Coturnix japonica: one gene and its partners. The protein of the gene in region 1 interacts with the protein of each later gene in a biochemical or structural test. Links are inferred from orthologs where the notes say so. Each region holds a gene or a part of one and is shown in the gene's direction. Other genes may lie near its edges.

Region 1 (5,080 bases):
GGATGGGGGTGAGGGTGGGGGGGAAACGGAGATGGGTGTGGGGTGGGATGGGGGGTGAAATGGGGGTGGGGATGGGGGAGATATGGGAATGGAAGGGGCGGGGGAATAGGGATGGATATAGAGAAGGGAATAGGGGATAATAGGGATGGATATAGGGATGGGAATAGGGGAGAATAGGGATGGTGATGGAGATGGGAATAGGGGAGAATAGGGATGGATATATGGGGATGGGAATAGGGGAGAATAGGGATGGATATAGGGATGGGAATAGGGGAGAATGGGGATGGATATGGGGATGAAGGAGGGAGTAGGGATTGGTACAAGGGGGAATGGGGATGGAGATGAGGGGGATGGAGGAGGAATAGGGATAGATAGAGGGGGGAATAGAGATGGAAATGGGGGTTGATGTGGGTGGGAATAAAGGTAGGTATAGAAGGGGAATTGGAATGGAGGTCAGGGGTGGGAAAATAGGGATGGAAGTGTGCAGGGCAGGGAAAATAGGGATGGAGATAGGGATAGATAGAGGGGGGAGAAGGGACAGGTATAGGGATGGAGGGGAAATGGGGGAATAGGAACAGAAATCAGGGCGAGTGGGGATGAAAATGGAGGGGAATATGGATGGAGGTAGGGATCAATGGGGGGAAAGTAGAGATGGGTTTGGGGCAGGATAGAGATGAAGCCAGGGATGGATGGAGGGGAACAAGGGACACAGGGACGGGGAGGAGTGGGGATGGAAATGGGGGAAAATGGGGATGGAGATGGGAGGGGGGTGAGCAGGGACCCGCTGATCCCGTTGCCTGCAGGTGAGGATGAGGATTACACCATCTGGCTGGCGCACTCCAGCGACCCCCGCGACCCGTCGGACGGCTGCATCCTGGGCTACAAGGAGCAGTTCCGCCGGCTGCGCAAGTCCTCGGTCTGCCAGAACGGCCGCGACTACGCCGTGACAGCGCAGCCCTCTGTGTGCCCCTGCACCCTGCACGACTTCCTCTGGTACCGCAGCGCTGCCCCCATCGCCCCGCAGCCATCCCAGTGCCCCCATGTCCCTGTGTGTGATCCCAGTGCCAACATATCCCTGCCCACCCCATCCCAGTGCCACAGCATCCCTCCCACCTCATCCCAGTGCCACCCTGTCCCTGTGTGTGATCCCAATGCCACCCCAGTGCCACCACATCCCTGCCTCCCTCATCCCAGTGCCACCCCGGTGCCACCTTGTCCCTGTGGATGATCCCAGTGCAATGGCAGTGTCACCCCAATGCCACCACATTCCTGCCCACCTCATCCCTGTCCACCTCATCCCAATGCCATCCTGGTGCCACCCTGTCCCTGTGCATGATCCCATTGCAATGGCAGTGTCACCCTGGTGCCACCACATCTCTCCCACCTCATCCCAGTGCCCCCCTCTCCCTGTGCATGATCCCATTGCCATCCCAGTGCCACCATCTCCCTGCCCACCCCATCCCAGTGCCACCCTGTCCCTGTGCATGACCCCAGTGCCACCACATCCCTCCCCCCTCATCCCAGTGCCATCATATCACTGTACCTGATCCCACTCCCCCACATTCCCTGCTTTATCCTGCCAGCCCCAATGGGGTCACACCATTGGGGGGGTGCTGAACCCTCTGCCCCAAATCCCGCAGTGATTTTGGGTATTACCGCCCTGAGAACCAGTCTGTGTGTGTGGAGCAGCCCGAGCTGAAGGGCCACGACTTGGAGTTCTGCCTCTATGGCCGCCGGGAGCTGCTGCGCACCAGCGGGTACGGCCCCAATCCTACACCTCCATGGGGTACGGGGGGGTCCTGGGGCTCACAGCACATCAACCCCCCCACCCTATTTCAATCCAGGTACCGCAAGATTCCAGGGGACAAATGCAGTGGAGGTGAGAGCCCCAGCAGGGAGGAGACAGACATGAAGAAGAAATGCACCAGCACTCTGCTGAGCCCTGGGCAGCTGGTGGGTGCCACCCCACAACCCCACATCAAGGTGGCTATGGGGTGTGCTGACCCCAATGGGGTGACGCTGTGCTGTCCCTGCAGGCGGTGGCCCCCAGCCCCACACCCATCGTGCTGGCCGTGGTGGCCGTGCTGCTCGTTAGTGCTGTGGCTGCTGTGCTGCTCATCAAGAAATACGTCTGTGGTGGGAGGTGGGTCCCAGCTGGGAGCTTTGGCTCTGTGGGGTCTATAGGGGTTTGTAGGGTCCCAGTGGCCTGGGGGCCCCCTATGGCTTTGTGGGATCCTTGTGGTTGGAGAGTCCTTGTGGTCCCCATGGGGTCCCCATGGCTTTATGACTCCTATGACTGGGGGGCTTTGTGGGTCCCAAAGGGGTCTTTACATGGCAGAGGGGTCCCCCTGGCTTTGAGGGGTCTATATGACTTGGGGGGTCCCCATGGCTTTGTGGTCCCTATGGGTTCCTCTGTCTCTATATGATTTCCATTGCATTGGGGTCCCTATGGCTGGGGATACCTGTGATCCCCATGGGGTCTCTGTGACTTTATTATGGGGTCTCCTTGGGGTCTCCATGGCTTTGGGTTCCCTGTGGCTCTTGGGGTTCCTCTGGCTCTGGGGTCTTGGAAGCTTTATGGAGGGATCTATGGCTGGGAGGGATCCTTGTGGGTCTGTGAGGTCTCCATAGCTTTATGGGGTCCCTGTTGCTAGGGGGCATCCCTGTCATTTACAGGGGGTCCCCCATGGGTTTGGGGTCCCCATGGCCTTATAATCCCTCCTGGCTTGTGTGTCCCCATGGACTTTGTGGGACCTGACCTACCCATGGCTGGGGAGGGGGTCCTGCCAGCTTCCCACACTCACTATGGGATCCCCATGACATTATGGGCTCCTGGTAGTGCCTGGTTGCTCTGTATGGCCTTATGGTGACCCCACATCTCTGTCCCCCCCCTCAGGTTCCTGGTCCATCGTTACTCCGTGCTGCGGCAGCACGCTGAGGCCAGCGGCACCGAGGGGTTGGAGGCAGCAGATCCCCCCTCACCACCCTACAAAGGGGGGGGGTACCACGATGACTCGGATGAGGTGAGCCCCCCCCCACATATACACACCATGAGGACCCCCCCGGGCTGGGATCCCCGCAGTGACACTCCCCTCTTCCCCCCCCAGGACCTGTTGGAGTAGCAGCAACGCTGGGACGGCAGGAGCTGCACTGTGGGGCAGGCAGGGCTGGGGGGGCTGTGCTGGGGGGGGCACACAGCAGCATGGCATCAGCTCACCCCAGGGGCTCTTTGCAGCTGGGGGGGGGGGTCAGTTTGCTTTTATTTCATCTTCTTTTTTCCCTTGGTTTTGTTCTTTCTTTTGGGGGGAGTGGGCAGGGGGGGTCCCTTTTTGGAGGGGGGTATTTGGTATTTTTATGGGGTTTTTGTCTTGGTTTTTGTTGGTCTTTTCCCCTTGGTGCCCCCAGGCTGCAGGGCTGTGCCCCCCCCCAGCCTGCAGCACCCTTGGGGTGCCCCCCGCTCCCCACCCCAACATGGGGACCCCCAAGCAGCAGCACATGGGATGCAGGGGGTGGGGGCTCCCCCCATTCTCCAAAGCAATATACACTGCTGTGTGTGTGGGGGGGGTCCTCCCAGCCTTATCCCCCCCCCGGGGCTGCCCTTGGCCGAGGGAAACGTAGCAATAATGAATTCAGGCTTGAAGCTTTTTAACGAGGGGCTGGGGGGGGTGTTGGTCCCTGTCCCCCCCCTTTGCCCCCCCCCCCTCCCCAGCTCTGCTTTCACCCCGCCAGGTTTCAGTCCCAGCACTGTCACTGTCTCCTTACACTGGAAATCCCCTTCCATGGGATGGGGGGGGGTGGCAAGATTGGTGCCCCCCCCCCCAACCCCATGGTATCAATGGGGTGTGTGGAGGGGGGGGGCTGCTTGCATGCGCTTCTGCAGCACCGCAGTGGGGCCGGCGCATGCCCCCTCCATAGGGAGATGCCATAGGACCCCCCCCCGGACCCCCCCCCCCCCAACTCAGAGCTGGGTGGTTGGGGGGGGGGTGGGAGGGGAGGGGGGGCATGTAGAGCTCTGTAAATAAACCCGGATGTGTGATAACTTTATACCGGCATTTTTCTGTATATTTGCAATATTTTGGGTTCTTAGTAATAATAAAGGCAAAACAGACCCTGTGTGAGCGGTTCTATGGGGGGGGGGGGGGGGGGCCCCAAGGGTTTTTTGGGGGGGGGGGGGGGGGGGGGGGGGGGGGGGGGGGGGGGGCACCCAATGATGTTTGATGGGCTTGGGAGGGGAGGGGGGATTAAAAATCCCATCATTTATTGCAGATTAAGGCAACGCACCGTGGGCACACGACAGCCATGCACGTAGAAAAATAACTGGGGGGGGGGGGATGCCCAGGACCACCCCCTTCCCCCCCCCCAACTCCTTGCTGCAAAGGGGCAGCACAACCAGGGGATGGAGGAGAGACATGGGGGGTCCTGGGGACAGGACAGGACAACACAGGGGGTGGGAAGTGTCCCCCCCCCACCCAAAACCCCTATTCCCATTGGTGGGGGGGGGGGGCTGGCAGTGAGTGGCTGAGATTTACCCATAACCTCAGGGCAGAGGTCGGTACCTGCGTGTCCCCAGGTGGCCCCGGGGGGTTGGGAGGGTGGGGGGGTCCCGGGGGGTTCGGGGCTGGGGGGTGCAGGCTGTGGTTTGATGCCGTGAGCCTTCATGTAGGAGATGAACTGCTCGGGGATCTCAGCCAGCACATCCTTGGCCAGGCGGGCCATGCTCAGCACCTGGCTGCCCCCCCGGTCCGTGTAGTCACGGAATGGGACAAACTGGGGGGGGGAGGGCAGAGGATGGGGGGTTTGGGTACAGCCCCGTGTGTCCCCATGGCCTGGAGCATCCCCCCGTCCTACTGCATCCCCATATCTCAGTGCCCACCCCACAGTGTCCTGCATTACCCCACATCCCACTGCAGCTCCAGGCCATCATCCCCTCCTTCCCCAGCACCCCTCCATGTCTCCCCTAGTACCAGTACCCCCCCATCCCACTGTACCACTCCCAGCCCCACTGCACCCCATATCCCAGAACACCCCCATCCCACCCACCCCCTCATTGCAACACTGGGATCAGCAGTGGAGGGGTCTG
Region 2 (4,768 bases), on another chromosome or scaffold:
AGAAAAAGCCCACTTTTGTGATATCAAAACTGGGAAATAGTTTAGAATTTGACAAAATGCCATAAGAGAGATTTATTTTGCTGCTGAAAGCTCTCATTTCCATTGTCGAGGAAGAAGAATCCTGCTTTTCAAATTCAAGCTTTTAAAAAAAAAAAAAAAAAGAGTAAGACAAAGCAGAGATACCTGGAAGTGGTTCACTTAAGGCAGGGCCAGAAGTAGACTGTAGAGAGCATTGTCTGGACAAACATGTATGTAAATCCATTCCCATGCCTCGGTGCACACATGTTGCTCCTTGTGAGTGCACCTGGTCACGCAAAGCAGAAATCTCAGCATCAGAGAAGCTACAGAGAACATAAGTGCAGGTATTTAAATTAATTTGGTGTGGACATTCGTGCAGAATGTGCAGAAACGAGCCTCTTTGTGCATGTTGTAGTTAAACACATGCGTTCCCCAGGACACAGAAGAATGACAGGTGTTGGGCTCAGCGCATTTCATGCCCCTGTGTTTTCTGTTCAGGCCACACTGGAGGAAGGATTAATTAATGGCAATTCTGCACAACAGATTGCAATCCATTCATCATGTTCATTTCTGCTTCTCATGAAAAAGAATTAAAACAATGTCCCCAACCCAGCGAACAACTACCTCTGTTCTAAGGCAGAACAAAATATGCCAGCATTCCTCAGAAAGCAGTTAAATAGCTGTTTGTGGCAAGGTTCTGAGTACAGCATTAGAACAAGAGCATTGAGTGATGCTGGAATCAGTCAGAGCGCCACTTCACCATCCCACAGAACTGCAGAGAGCCACACAGTACAAACACACACAGTTCAGATCTATGAAGGATTCATAGCAATAGATGTCTCAGCTTCTTAAGCACAGCCTGAGGGATGTGGGAAGTTTTTCCGCTTCTCCTGATAAAATCTGGTTCATAGGCTGGGTGTGATTGCTGAAAGTACGCATATGTGCGACACTGCTGCCAGAGTCCTTCTGTTTGCGTTATTTGAGTGATAAATACTGCCTCTATTTAATATTGTTTACTTTGTATTTCTGGGAATGCACGCTTCTGGATGTTTTGTGTGGCCTTATTTTGCAAAGGGCTATGAAAATGTGCTGCAAAACTCTAAAGAGAAGCACCGGGAGACTTCTTGTTTGACTAAGATTTTTTATTTTCTCTTATTTCTTTTTCTTGAACCTTTGCACTTCCTTGCAGAGATGGCTTGTGGGAGAGAGAACAGGGCATGGGGGAGAGAGAAGTGTTCAGAGGAGTAGGAAAGGGATAGATAGAGAAACTGAAGATGTCAGAGGTGTGAGAAGAGCTTGCCATGGTAAGGCATGGATGCTGAGGCAATGTCTGTGAAGGGCACCAAACTTCTGATTGTGAAGAAAGAGGATTGAGCAGAGAGCAGTACATTTGGTATCAGGACACTGTTGCTTCAGTAAAATCCAGTATCCAGTTGCTCATTATTCAGCAGGTATTGAGAGCTACCCAGACTAGCTCCAGGCAAAACAGGAAGTCAGCATGACAAGGTAGCCCATGGGTAGCTCCAGGATCCTTCAGAAAGTCTGGGTTTAGTACTCAAGTGACCTCATTTGCAACTACCTTCAGTAGTTGCCTGCAACATAATAGGGTATTTTTCACACTTTATTCTGTAAAGTGCCAGAGAGGAGAGGCCTCTAAAGAGAAAGCTATGGTGCCTTCAGGGCTTAGGCTGAGCAGCACAGCTAGTCTGAACCCAGGTTTCTTCCCAGCTGTATTAGAAAGAGAGAGAAGCCCTGAAGACAGGTGGACAGATGAGACTGTTATAAATACCATACAAGAGAATTAAGTACATATTTGGAGAGAGAACTTCTCCCTCTAGGCTGAAGGTGACTCTAACCTTCCCTCCCTCTCTTGCAGCTCCCCTGGTGGACCTCACTCCCAGTCACAGTGGTTCAGCAATGCTGATGCTCCTCTCTGTCGTTTTCGTGGGACTAGCCGTGTTTGTAATCTACAAATTCAAAAGGTATGACCTTCCCTGGGCCATTTCCTTCCCCCACTGCTGCCGGGGATTTGTTTGCTGGGCTTTCCTTTTCACAGTGATTTGTTTCTTGGTTTGCAAAAGCTAATGCTACATCACCTGCCAGAGTACCCCCCAATGATGGTTTCTGTTAATGTTTTAGGAAGATTCCTGGCCTTAATATATATGCACAGATGCAGAATGAAAAAGATCAAGAGATGGTCAGTCCAGTCAGTCAGAGGGAAAACATACCTAATGTCCCTCAAAGTGAGCTGATGAGCCCTGAGCAACTAGTAGATGAGAAGTTGGATGTCCAGCCCATAGGTAAATAACTTGCAGCAACCCGCAGTTGGTCAGACTCTGACTTATAATTGGCTAACCCTTTTCTCAGTCTTCCCCTTTCCCATCTCCCTGCACACTCCTCCTGCCATCCTCTTCTGCTGCAGTATTAGTTTTGCTACAGGAAACCTTGCTAACTCTCCCCTCTCCCTCACTGCCCTGTGGTGAAAGGGAGAGAAAGAACTTCAGGCTTTTCCCTTCTCCTAGTTGCTCTGTGTAGATCCTCTTCCCTTCTCAAAAACCCTGCTGCACTTAACTTGCGCTATAAGGCAATTTAATTTATTTTGCTGGGGCTGATGTTGTTATGGGGCTACACCTCACACCTGAGTCCTGTCCAGGAGAACTTCAGCCACCCTCACCTGGAGCATGGAGGTGAGCAGGTGATTCGGTAAGTCAAATCTAAAAGTTAAATATTCATTTGTGTTTTCACTGCTGTGTCCTTCGTGGTGTGCCAGACCTCACTGCCAGCAGCAGTGCTATCCTGACTGATTCACAGGGAAATAGAGCAAAACCTGGGATCTCAACACTGGGCTGCTGGGTTTGCCCTTAGGCTGATTGCTCCCACATGACTGGTTGAAAAAATAACATTAGGATTTAAACTGAACAGCATTGAGGTGACCATACTGGGTTCAGTCACCCATTTGCTCATGCTTATGTTATCACATCACCCCAAATAAAGTAAAAGCATTGGGACAAAGCAGGGAGGTTTCAGTCTGGGGGCATGTTCTTCTAAAGCAAACATTACTTAGGGATTACTTGGGTATTCTTCAGCTTTGTTTGTAAGGGGAAAGCTCTGCAGGCCCAGACCACAGGAACAGTGCTGGACTCCAGCAAATAAGAACACAGATATGCTTTACAGGTATTACTCATAAAATAAACAGTTCTTCTGATTCAGATTTGATGCATAGTCATAACTATGATCCTTTATTTTCACAATTTCATCAGCTTAACTAAGTGTTAGATCCCACCCGAGGAAGTCCCTAAATTGTGTGGGAGTTTGCTAAAGCAGATTTGATGTCTTAGATACCACAGAGAGAGAGCAAAGGGAAGGGCAAATAAAAGAGGAAATATGAAGTACTAAGATTGTGGCCTGTGAAACATCCTGGGAGGAAAAAGAAGAAAATCTCTTGATGAAATCAGTGTCTAAACTGGAAGCTCCAGTGCAGTGCAGTCAGTAGTGATCTCTTATCACACATTCACCAAGGGGAGATCTGGTAGTTATTAAAAGCTTTTTAGCAACTATCCATCAACAGACCTGGATATCCCTGCTTAGCAGTACACAGGATGGAGTGAGGGAACCAACCTTCCCATGTGGTGTTCCCCATACAGAGCAACCCCAGGCCACAGTCCAGAACCCAAGGAAAGGAAATGCAGCCAAGGTAGTCTGGACAGAGGACTTCCAAAAGGCTTGTGGATCACCAAGAGGTTTCAAGCCAAGACCCGGAGCGGTGGGTCCTAAATTTTAACAATTACTCTTTCTTTTTTTTTTTTTTTTTTTTTTTTTTTTTTTTTTTTTTTTTTTTCTTTTCTTTCTCTTTATATCCTAGAAGCTCCAAAATTGGTCTAAGTTGCTAAGGGAGAAACACCCAATTTCAGGCCAGGAACTCAGTTCCCAGAGTTAGTTGAGCTTTGAGATTTCTCTTTCTAAAGGAATGTAATGATCATGATTTCCACTGTTGGCAGAGAGTAGCAAATGTTTTCAGAGGTCACTCAGACTGAAGAGACAACAGTCAGCCAGCTGCTAGCTCTACTGTTGCTGGTGATGGGAATTAATCTCTTGAAGCCTCTGGGATCAGAGAAGTCAAAAGCCAACTTGGGGTTTGGTTTTCATTTGGTGCAACTGCAGCATTTTTGGCTTTCTACAATAGGTAGCGTTCTGTGGATTTCTCAGCTGTACCCAGCACTGTTGGATGCTGTATTGAACCAGAAATTGGCCTTTTATTCATCCTTGAGTTTCACCTGTAACTACAAGAGTGAGCACAAAAGGGACAGATAGTCTCAATTCTCTATCAAAAGAAATCCTTCCAACAAACTTCCTAGGAGCTTGTTTTTCAATTCTGGCAGTAAGATGAATGTGGAAACTAAATCATCATTGACAAAATGGGAAGGTCTGGACGTAGATGTGAATAAAATAAAGTGAAAGGCTCTTTCCACTTGTATACAACTACTTCACATGTTTGTGTAAATCAGCAACTCCTTTTTTAATGAGCTTTCCTCCTTTTGGGAAAACCAAACAAGACTGTAATTGGGTGTTTCTCTTTTCTATGCCTGTTCAGAAGCTGGGTTTTTTTCCAACTCCTTTGACTAACATTCAGAGACCTTTCCTTGGAGGAATGCAAATGAATGTCCCTGGATCATTTAATTTTCTCTCCAAACCCTGGCAGCAAAAAAAAAAAAAACAAAACAAAAACACCACAGTTCCTATTTTCTGGGTG
Region 3 (3,975 bases), on another chromosome or scaffold:
AATCATGCCAGCTAATGAAAGTGTTGCCATTTCAGTTTTCTAATTCTTGCTTGTGTTTCAAGCAGTGAAGACACCATCAGATTACTAGAAATGGCGTGTTGGAGTTTACTGGAAATTATGCAGCAGGCACAGATTTACTGCTGCAGATTGTGGTTTTAAAGTCTGCAAGACATGGATGTTTCATTTCATCAGTAGAAGCCCAAGAGGATATGTATCTTAGGCTCTGAGCCTAAGTTTGCTCTATTAATCCTGTTTTTGTTAGAATCAAACTGCTCTGAAGCTTGCAGGCAGCTTGATGTTTGTATTGTAGAGTACAAGCTGAAGCTGTTGGAAGCTATTTCAACATTGGCTGTCCTGACTAATTCATGAAATGTCTGAGGGAGGGTTATAGGATTTACCCACCATACCTATTCAATTTCCTTGAGATAATGCTAACCACAGAAATTAGAACATTCCCTTATTAAAACTTCAGCTGATCACCAGCAGGAGGTAAAAGGCATTTTCTGTAACACCGCCCTCCAGAGCACTGAGGAGCATTAATGTGCAAAAAGAGTTACTGCTTTTTAGAGTATGATGTCAGCGCTTTACTGATAATAAGAACTGACTGTATTTTATTCATCCCAGATTGGAGGGATTTCTGGGGCTTCTTACCTATTGGGATTTGGCCCACAGTCAGTATAGCTTTTCTCTTTCAACAGATATTCACAAAAATGTAATCAACCCATCTGAGGAGAACCTGGTGAAAGAGGAAGTCTTGCACAACAAACACAGAGAGCTTAAAGACAAGCTAAGAAGCATCAACCAGGGGTTTGAGCGTTTACGTAAAGTCAGTCACCAAGGATATGATGCAACCAGTGGTACGACTCCCCGGTATTTTTTTAAACTCTATTTGGTATCAATTTTATTAAGTAAAAATTGGTGAGCAAGTTAATTCATTTAATCACAGTGAATTCATGTAACATGGGAAGGGATATTAGACTCTCTGCACCAGGGGCGGGTAAGTTAGGCAATGTGCAGGGCATTAATTAGTTTCTGGGGATGGTTTTTTTTTTTTTCTTTTAAATAAGTTTCTTAAATAAATGCTTGCTACAATACTGCTGTTTTAAGTGAAGTACTTGGACTTTTCTCCCTTTTCATCTAAGTAGACCTGTTAGTAATATGTTGCTTGGTGTGCTTGGCATGCTTATCTTGCATGAAAGCATTATGTCCATTTCTTCATCTGGTAATTTGTGTTTGTTTAGAATTCGAAGAACCAAGAGTGATTGATTTGTGGGACATGGCAAAATCAGCCAATTTCACTGAGAAAGAGCTGGAATCTTTTCGGGTAAGTAGAATTCCAGTAAGATCTCCCACGGGGAAGGTATTTTTCCACATAAAGAAATACTGTGTTACTCATAGGGCAGCCAATTCTGTATTGCTTTTCAGGCATCAGAAAAAAATAAAAAGGTCATTATTTAATGTTTAAAATATATACATATGTGAAACTACTCATGTGCATTGTCCTAGGAGGAACTGAAACACTTCGAAGCAAAAATTGAAAAACATCATCACTATCAGAAGCAATTAGAGATTTCACACGAGAAACTAAAACATATTGAGGGGACTGGAGATAAGGAACATCTGAACAGAAACAGAGAGAAATATGCCATGCTAGAAGAAAAGACAAAAGAGCTCGGATATAAGGTCTGTATAAATTCAGTGTACGTACCTGTTGAGAATTAGACTCAGTAGTTAAGGGAATGTCAGTTACCTAGTGCTGGTATTTTTCATGCAGGTAAACATCTTCCAGAGGAGGAGGTTAAGGCAAACCTGTGCTTCATGTTTAATGCTGAATAGACATGATTGGTTTTTACAGACCTAATTCTAAAATGCCTGAAAATTTCCTAGTCTCAGCTCTTCCCAAGAGCTGCCACATATACTAATAGCAAAAATCTAAGTATATTAGATTGACTGATTTAATCTTCTAGCATTATTCGTTGTACTGATATTTGTTTGATTTGTTTCCTTTTTCTTCTAGGTCAAGAAGCATTTGCAAGACTTATCCAGCAGAATCTCTCAAGGTCTTCAACACAATGAATTATAAACATCTGTTCTCCTTCATGGGATCAATTTATGAACATAAATAACAGAGGGATTTTATGAACAGGATTAGCCAAGCAGTCCTTCCAAAATTCTAAGGATTGAAGAGTTGTCCTGTAAGAAAACTTTCTGTGGTCCACTTAGTTTTGTATTTGCATTATCATGTTAAATGATTACACTATAAATCTGAATCAAGTAACAGCCTTTGAAATAAGTCACGTCACAAGGAAGTGTGAGCAGTCAGAAGATTCCTGCTTGTAAAAATATTGATCTTATAGTTAGTCAAGGAATTCTGATCAATGAAAGCAGACACCTGAGGTACAGGTTGTTAAAGATGAGAGAAGTTTAATATTTCACTGTTTGGTTTGATGCATTTTCTACTGAAGGTAACTAAAATGTTTTTACTTGCTGAGCATTGACTCAGCTGCACTGTATATGAATCTTTCATGTGAGAGGAGGGGGAGGAATAAGGGAAGAATAAGTATTGAGGTCAATTCACAAAACTTACAGACTAACGCATCTGAAGTTACTGAACGTATGTGTACGATTTTGCAATTCATAGTTGTTTGGTTTTGTTACACTTAGTCATTAAAAATCAAAACAAGATACCATTGAGGTGTTTTTTGTCTTTCCCACTTGGGTTGAAACTTTCTATGATTATCATGCTGACCCTTTATTTCTAAGGCTTTTTCTTGTGAAACTGCCAGGAACAAGACTAAGGCAAAAGTCCAGTGTCAGTAAATCATTACAGCTGCTTGGTTGCAAAGCTCTATCAATCATCTGTGAGAACCAGTAAAGAGAGAGAGTTTGTCAGAGTCAGCCACTGCGTATATTACTTATCCAGGTCCTGAGTCCATGTTGGGTTGAAAGTATTACAATTCTGCACATATAGGCTATTTCATAAGGCACAGGTGATTTGAATGAAAAGAGTGGTAGCGGTCCTACTGTGAGATTTTGAATGCCTTACATTGCAGCAGTAATTTCTTACTGGTTTTGTTTGAATGTAAGCTGTTATTTTTATTTCAGAGAATCGTTGTTCATCAGTTGAAACGCAGAGCACTATTAATATTAACAGTAAGTCAGTAACAGTTCTTTAAAATAATATGATTTAGATGCCTACAGGGAATTGAGAGAATATTGGTACCTTTCTGATTCTGAAAGCACCACTTGTGGTTGTAGTGATGTTGCCAGTGATGTTCCAGACCTACACTTCAGCCTAAGCACCACAGCTAATTGCCTTTGGTTGCATAAGAGACTTGAGCATAGCCACATTCATGGTGCTACATCTCCCTCTAGCAGCTGTAGTGCCAAAGATGGCATTTGAGCAACATGTACATTTTCAGCTCCAGGATTTCATTAAGAATATTATGTTTTGTCTGAAGCAAAGTTAAGTGAGATACAGTTCTGCAGAGAATGGAATTTATAGAATTATTTCTACTGTAGCCAGAGGCAACTGAAAGCTCCAGTAAAAGTTCTGAGTTCAGAGACTGACAACATACATTTACAGGTTGCAGTAATTTAAAATGAGGAACAAGTCAGAGATGAGTACTGAAAAAGGTTGGAAGACTGTTTTTAGTGCAGCCATTTCACTTCAGTTGTTGAACGCAGCCGTTAATGAGTCATTAGGTACAAAGGTTGTTCATACAAACCTGGAGGAGAAAATGTTAAGCAGCATCATTTGCTCCTCCTAAATTCAGCTTCCTCCTGAATCCCTGGAACACTGGCAGTCAGATAATGCACCAGCACAGAGAAAACGTTAGGAATATCTTCCATTCCTGCCAAGGCTCTTTGCTGCTTTTCTTGAGATCTGAAGAGGCTGAAGTCTGATTACACTGCTTTGAAACTCAGTGCCTTTCACCCATCGGTATTTGTTTAGCTCAGTTTATTGAGGTTTTA
Region 4 (4,768 bases), about 2.4 Mb from region 1:
ATTTTCTTGCTCATCAACTCAGAGCAGAGACTAAGGAGTAGGAATGAAGTGTTTTCTTTAATTGTGTAACCTTGAATGTATGTAAATTCTGAAGCAAGACATTAGTGGGATATTATATTCATCTTTGGGACGGGTAGGTACAGAGGGATGGTGTATAGATGCTGTCTTCAGCATCATTTGAATAACACTGCCTGATTTACTGGATTCTGCCACAGCTGGCAATCCGGGAAGAAGACAGCAAAAGAACTTAAAAAAAACACAACCTTCTGAAAATAAACTCTTTTGTGGTTAAATAACCAGCCAGTTGGAGCTGAAGCTGTGTTTTCTTAGGGTGGCAGAACAGTAGGAAAAGCTGCTGGATTATTTTTGGCAGTGGTCACTATTTTAGATCTACCATTACCGAACTAACAGAGTACACTGAAAGGGTTATTGCTTTATTAGTATGTTATTCCAAAAGACGTAGCATACATTGCTACACAAAGCAATGCAATGAGCACATCACACGAGCTTGGGAGGTCTCAGATTTATGAGAACTGGATATCCTGTGTGATGTCTCATATGCACTCTTTATTTCTTTCCATCAGAACTATCCTGTAGATATTATAAATGCCTGTGTGGTCCTGGCAGACCTGCTTCAGGTGGCTCTACTTGAGCAGGTGGGTTGATCAGATGGAGGGAAGGATTAGATTGGATACTGGGGAAGTTCTTCATAGAGGGCAATGAGGTCTGTCCAGCTGCCCTGGAGGTGTTCAGGGCCAGGTTGGATGGGCCCTGGGCTGGTGACAGATATGGAGGTTGGTGGCCCTGCATGTGGTGGGGATTTGGAACTCAGTGATCCCTGGGGCCCCTTCCAACCCAAGCCATTCTATGAGATGGCCTCTGGAGGTGCCTTCCAACCTAAACCATCCAGTGGTTTTGTCTCTGGTTTTGAGTGATTACTGACAACATGCGGTCTCATCACTTGTAACCAGAATTGCCTTCAAGATGAAGATGGGAGGTTTGAATACTCATTTGTCCATACCTGTTATGCAAACTGAGCTACATTAGCAAGTATTGCTTTGTTTATGCTGCATTACTCCTGCTTACAGTGAGCCTGTAAGATGCCTGAGAGGGATTGGGGACAGTGGATAATTAAGAAGGGTCTTGTAAAGGAGCTGAATAAGGTATCTTGTCTTACAGTCATGCTGCTTGTGAAAGACAAGATTGGCACTTTAGACAATTACCAGTGAAAAAGGCACAGCTCAGAGAGTTGAGAGTGGATTTGTCCCTGTACTCCTGCAATGCAGTAGGGAAGGGTACTGAAATCATGTATTTGCTGGCTATTTACTGAAACATACTTTTAATTCTAGCTGAACACTGAGTAAGCAACTCCCAGACTGAACTACGCAGCCAACGTGGCCCGATGGCATGCTGCAGCCAACCCCAGCTCAGCATCTGGATGAAATAAAGACCTTCCTCAGGAGCAGCTTTTTGTGCAATATACTCAGAGGTAAGGACAGAACACATAGAGGAACCATGAAACCTTGAATTACCAGCATCACACAGCAGTCCAAACATCTTTACCAGGGGAAGAGTTTGTATGAGAGCAGGTAGCAAGAGATCTGATGAACAAATGAGGGAAGGATTAAAAAGCAATTGATCTGTCTTCTGAAAAGAGAAGATAAGGGCAGGTTGCATTTAATACTCTTATTTTTTGGAAATGCTTAATTCTTTGACATATTAAATAAGCTGCATCACTGTTATCTTCTAGCTAGCTATTGTTTGGCCAATAGGGGAGCTCCCACGTACCCCTTCCCATATTCTGCCTCCAGACAGGCCCTTTGTGGAAAATGATTTCTTACAATGAGAGATAATTGAGTTAGAAGTCACAGGGCTCATTAAATATCCTCCGCTTTCGTACAGCGGTTGTGTTTGTGGTATTGAAAGGATTGTGGTAACAGTCATAGCCCACATCACAAAGGCTGCAGTGCCAGCACTGGTACTGATGTGCATCTCCATGGAAGCTCAGGTGGCTGCACTGGGTGGGAACTGTGAACACTTTGCAAAGAGCACCATGGAGGAGTCCAGTAGGTAAATACAGAATGAAGTTAGAAACAACTCCCTAAAACAGCCTGTAAAATACCTCCACATCAGCAAGAGTCACAGTCCCAACAGTCTTAAGGCATGCCCTAAAATGTTAATTCTTCTGCTGGCATTGTCAGTGAGACTAATCCACTTTTTGAAGCTGTTTTCTTAATTATTTTCTACTAATGTAATAATAAAAGATTCAGTTTGGAATCTTCAGGAAAATACCACATATCCCAGATACATTTGCTTGCGTCTGGGCCACGATCCCATAGAATGCTTTGCCAGAAGGACAGGAAATACAAAGAAAGATGTAAAATATGCAACCTAAGAAGCTCAGAGAAAAAAAGTATGGCAGAAAATCAGGACAGAGCTCTTTGCTGGCATTGCTATGCCTCCATTCTATACAAGGGGATAATAATAACGGGTATTATGCATAAACACGATAGGCTGAGGCTGTTCTGGCATGTCTGAATTGCGCCTGGAGTTTGTTCTGCAAACCTTTTCCATTAACATTTCTGTTGGAAAAGCGAACTTTTTAGAGATGCAGTGACCCATCTGATTTCAATTTGGCTGCTGAACGAGGGGTTACTCTTTGAATTGTGCATAGCCAAGCTATTGAGCTACACCTAGTTCTATTTCCTTGTGCAGATGATGATGGCTGCTCAAGTAGGAGCAGCATGTGAGCAAGCAGCGACCCACAGCCTTCTTTTATGTAAATTAAAGTAGCTGGAACAGTAAGGACTTCCTCTGTGAGAGGCATTGGACTCCTAACCATTCTATCATCCCTAATTCTTCCAGTCCAAAGGAAGAATATCATCCCCATGATGCAGAGACTTGTAGCATCTCTTTAGTCTATTTGGCTTGTCCTGCTGGTTTCTTAAGCCCTGCGCACAAATACAGCCACAGCTGTTTATTTCATTGAGATAAGAAGTACCCACACAGGACTGTGGTACATATCAGGGCTCTGCATTTTCTACAGTGCATCCTAGTAAAGACAAAGCTTTAGTGCTGCTTCAAACTTTGCTTAGAGAAAGCTGAGCAGGAAGGGGTGAAGTCAGTGACTGAAGTCAACAGTGACTGACCCAAACCCAGAAAAACATCAGGACATGCTGGGAAATCACAGTGGAATTGCAGAGCCTGATTCTTCTTCTTGAAAAGCCCTGTTTGTCCAGTGGGTGTGAGGCTGCCTGCTGGCTGGACGCTGCAATTCAGGGCCAGCTGAGGCATGTCATGCAAACAGAGCACCAAGACAAGGGAGGAGCCTGTATTGATAGGGTTTTATTTATTATTATTTTTTTCCTGTTTACATCCTGTCTGTACCTAATGGTTCTTCACAGAGGAACACAATGCCAGCCCTTCGCTGCAATCTCAGATGGTGTTTTCAGTGCCTCTGCTGATGATTTGTTCCCTAGCATATGGCTGATTTAGTCAACACATGGCAGTTACCTAATAAAGTATTACTGCTGCTGGTGTTCCAGCATAATATTGTTCTTAGAGATATTTTAGATATTTGTCCCACATTTTTCCACACCCAAACAGATGTGCACATTCTCCAGGCTACAGGAATACTAGCACTCACTTTGGGTCTGCTATACAGGGACATTTGTGCAACTTCTTGCTCGTGGCACTGAGAAGAGGACGGTGTGTTCCTCTGTGCCCAGTACTGTGACCATAATGGTTTTAGCTATGCTCTACCTTAGATACCAACCAGAAATAGCCTGTCACCCATGGTGCTCCTATGTAATACCCATATTTGTCCTAATAGGCAGCCTGAACTTGGACAAATCCCATCTGCCCTTGTGACATGAGATGTCTGAGCTCTTCTGGGAAGGAGCGTGGGCTTTATCTGCCCCAAATCAGCAATGTGGTGCGTCCCGAAAGGGCAGGTGGGATAGATGGAGGCTGCTGGAGGCTGCTGAGCCAGCCAGAGTGCTGGGGCCTGTTCACATGGCAGGTAAGTGTGGCTGGGAGTGTGTGCTAATGGCTGGATTCAGGGGGTTCCCCCACTTCCACAAATACCAGCTTGGTGGTCCCCACCCTCACCCAAAGGACAGCCTTGCAGACAGATGAACTAAACAGAGAGCTATTTTAACCAAGGTCCTATTTCTACACTTGCTCCTCTGCAGGGTATTTGCAGCCAAAAGACCAGTGCTGGCCAAAAAGGTTATTGCAAAAATCACCAGAGATTTTACTCCTGGGAACATGCTGTCGCCATATGGTCTCCGCATTAATAATACCAAACAAGTGCTTCATAGTGTTCTAATAACAAATACCAGAGGAATTAATAATAATCTAGCTATTATTTTCTAATGTTCTCACTTTATGAACAACTTTTATACTGTCTGAATGAGCTCTTCTGGAAGATCAACATCTGGTACCCACATGAGATCCTGATGAAATCTGTATGGTCCTGGGTATCTTACACATTTATTGCCAGCAAACGCCATCTGTTTCTGCCAGCGTGGCTTACAGTAATACTGCATTTCTCTTTTGTTCTAGGTGCATAGCGTTATGTCCATGCTGTACTACACTCTGATTATAGCTTTTTTGATCGGCACACAGGCAGCTCCAAAGTCAGAGGACAATGGTCCACTGGAGTATCCTGCAGAACACTCCTTACCCCCTACACAACAGAGTAACGGACAGCACATTTCCAAGGCAGCCCCACAGACAACCCACGGCCACTTTGCTTGGATGCCAG

Evidence for each region. The genes of interacting proteins can lie anywhere in the genome.
Region 2: the proteins of SORT1 (region 1) and SORCS1 form a complex in vitro, tested with the Homo sapiens proteins (2 studies listed by BioGRID and IntAct, with this or other methods). The link is inferred for Coturnix japonica from reciprocal best matches to the Homo sapiens genes SORT1 and SORCS1.
Region 3: the proteins of SORT1 (region 1) and LRPAP1 form a complex in vitro, tested with the Homo sapiens proteins (4 studies listed by BioGRID and IntAct, with this or other methods). The link is inferred for Coturnix japonica from reciprocal best matches to the Homo sapiens genes SORT1 and LRPAP1.
Region 4: the proteins of SORT1 (region 1) and NGF form a complex in vitro, tested with the Homo sapiens proteins (3 studies listed by BioGRID and IntAct, with this or other methods). The link is inferred for Coturnix japonica from reciprocal best matches to the Homo sapiens genes SORT1 and NGF.

The regions. Positions count from the first base shown.
Region 1 is NC_029541.1:1,571,866-1,576,945, reverse strand, and holds the end of SORT1 (sortilin), read left to right. Parts: intron 1-803; coding exon 804-993; intron 994-1,640; coding exon 1,641-1,757; intron 1,758-1,844; coding exon 1,845-1,953; intron 1,954-2,036; coding exon 2,037-2,143; intron 2,144-2,896; coding exon 2,897-3,023; intron 3,024-3,107; coding exon 3,108-3,122; 3' UTR 3,123-4,113; downstream 4,114-5,080. Other genes in the region: copine-8-like, read right to left, coding at 4,258-4,767.
Region 2 is NC_029521.1:22,108,619-22,113,386, reverse strand, and holds part of SORCS1 (VPS10 domain-containing receptor SorCS1), read left to right. Parts: intron 1-183; exon of another isoform or gene 184-304; intron 305-1,894; coding exon 1,895-2,000; intron 2,001-2,157; coding exon 2,158-2,318; intron 2,319-3,662; coding exon 3,663-3,781; intron 3,782-4,768.
Region 3 is NC_029519.1:74,331,251-74,335,225, forward strand, and holds the end of LRPAP1 (alpha-2-macroglobulin receptor-associated protein), read left to right. Parts: intron 1-698; coding exon 699-857; intron 858-1,241; coding exon 1,242-1,324; intron 1,325-1,506; coding exon 1,507-1,683; intron 1,684-2,017; coding exon 2,018-2,083; 3' UTR 2,084-2,690; downstream 2,691-3,975. UniProt on the Homo sapiens protein: Molecular chaperone for LDL receptor-related proteins that may regulate their ligand binding activity along the secretory pathway.
Region 4 is NC_029541.1:3,978,461-3,983,228, reverse strand, and holds part of NGF (beta-nerve growth factor), read left to right. Parts: intron 1-584; 5' UTR 585-656; intron 657-1,349; 5' UTR 1,350-1,489; intron 1,490-3,832; 5' UTR 3,833-3,871; coding exon 3,872-4,021; intron 4,022-4,566; coding exon 4,567-4,768. UniProt on the Homo sapiens protein: Nerve growth factor is important for the development and maintenance of the sympathetic and sensory nervous systems.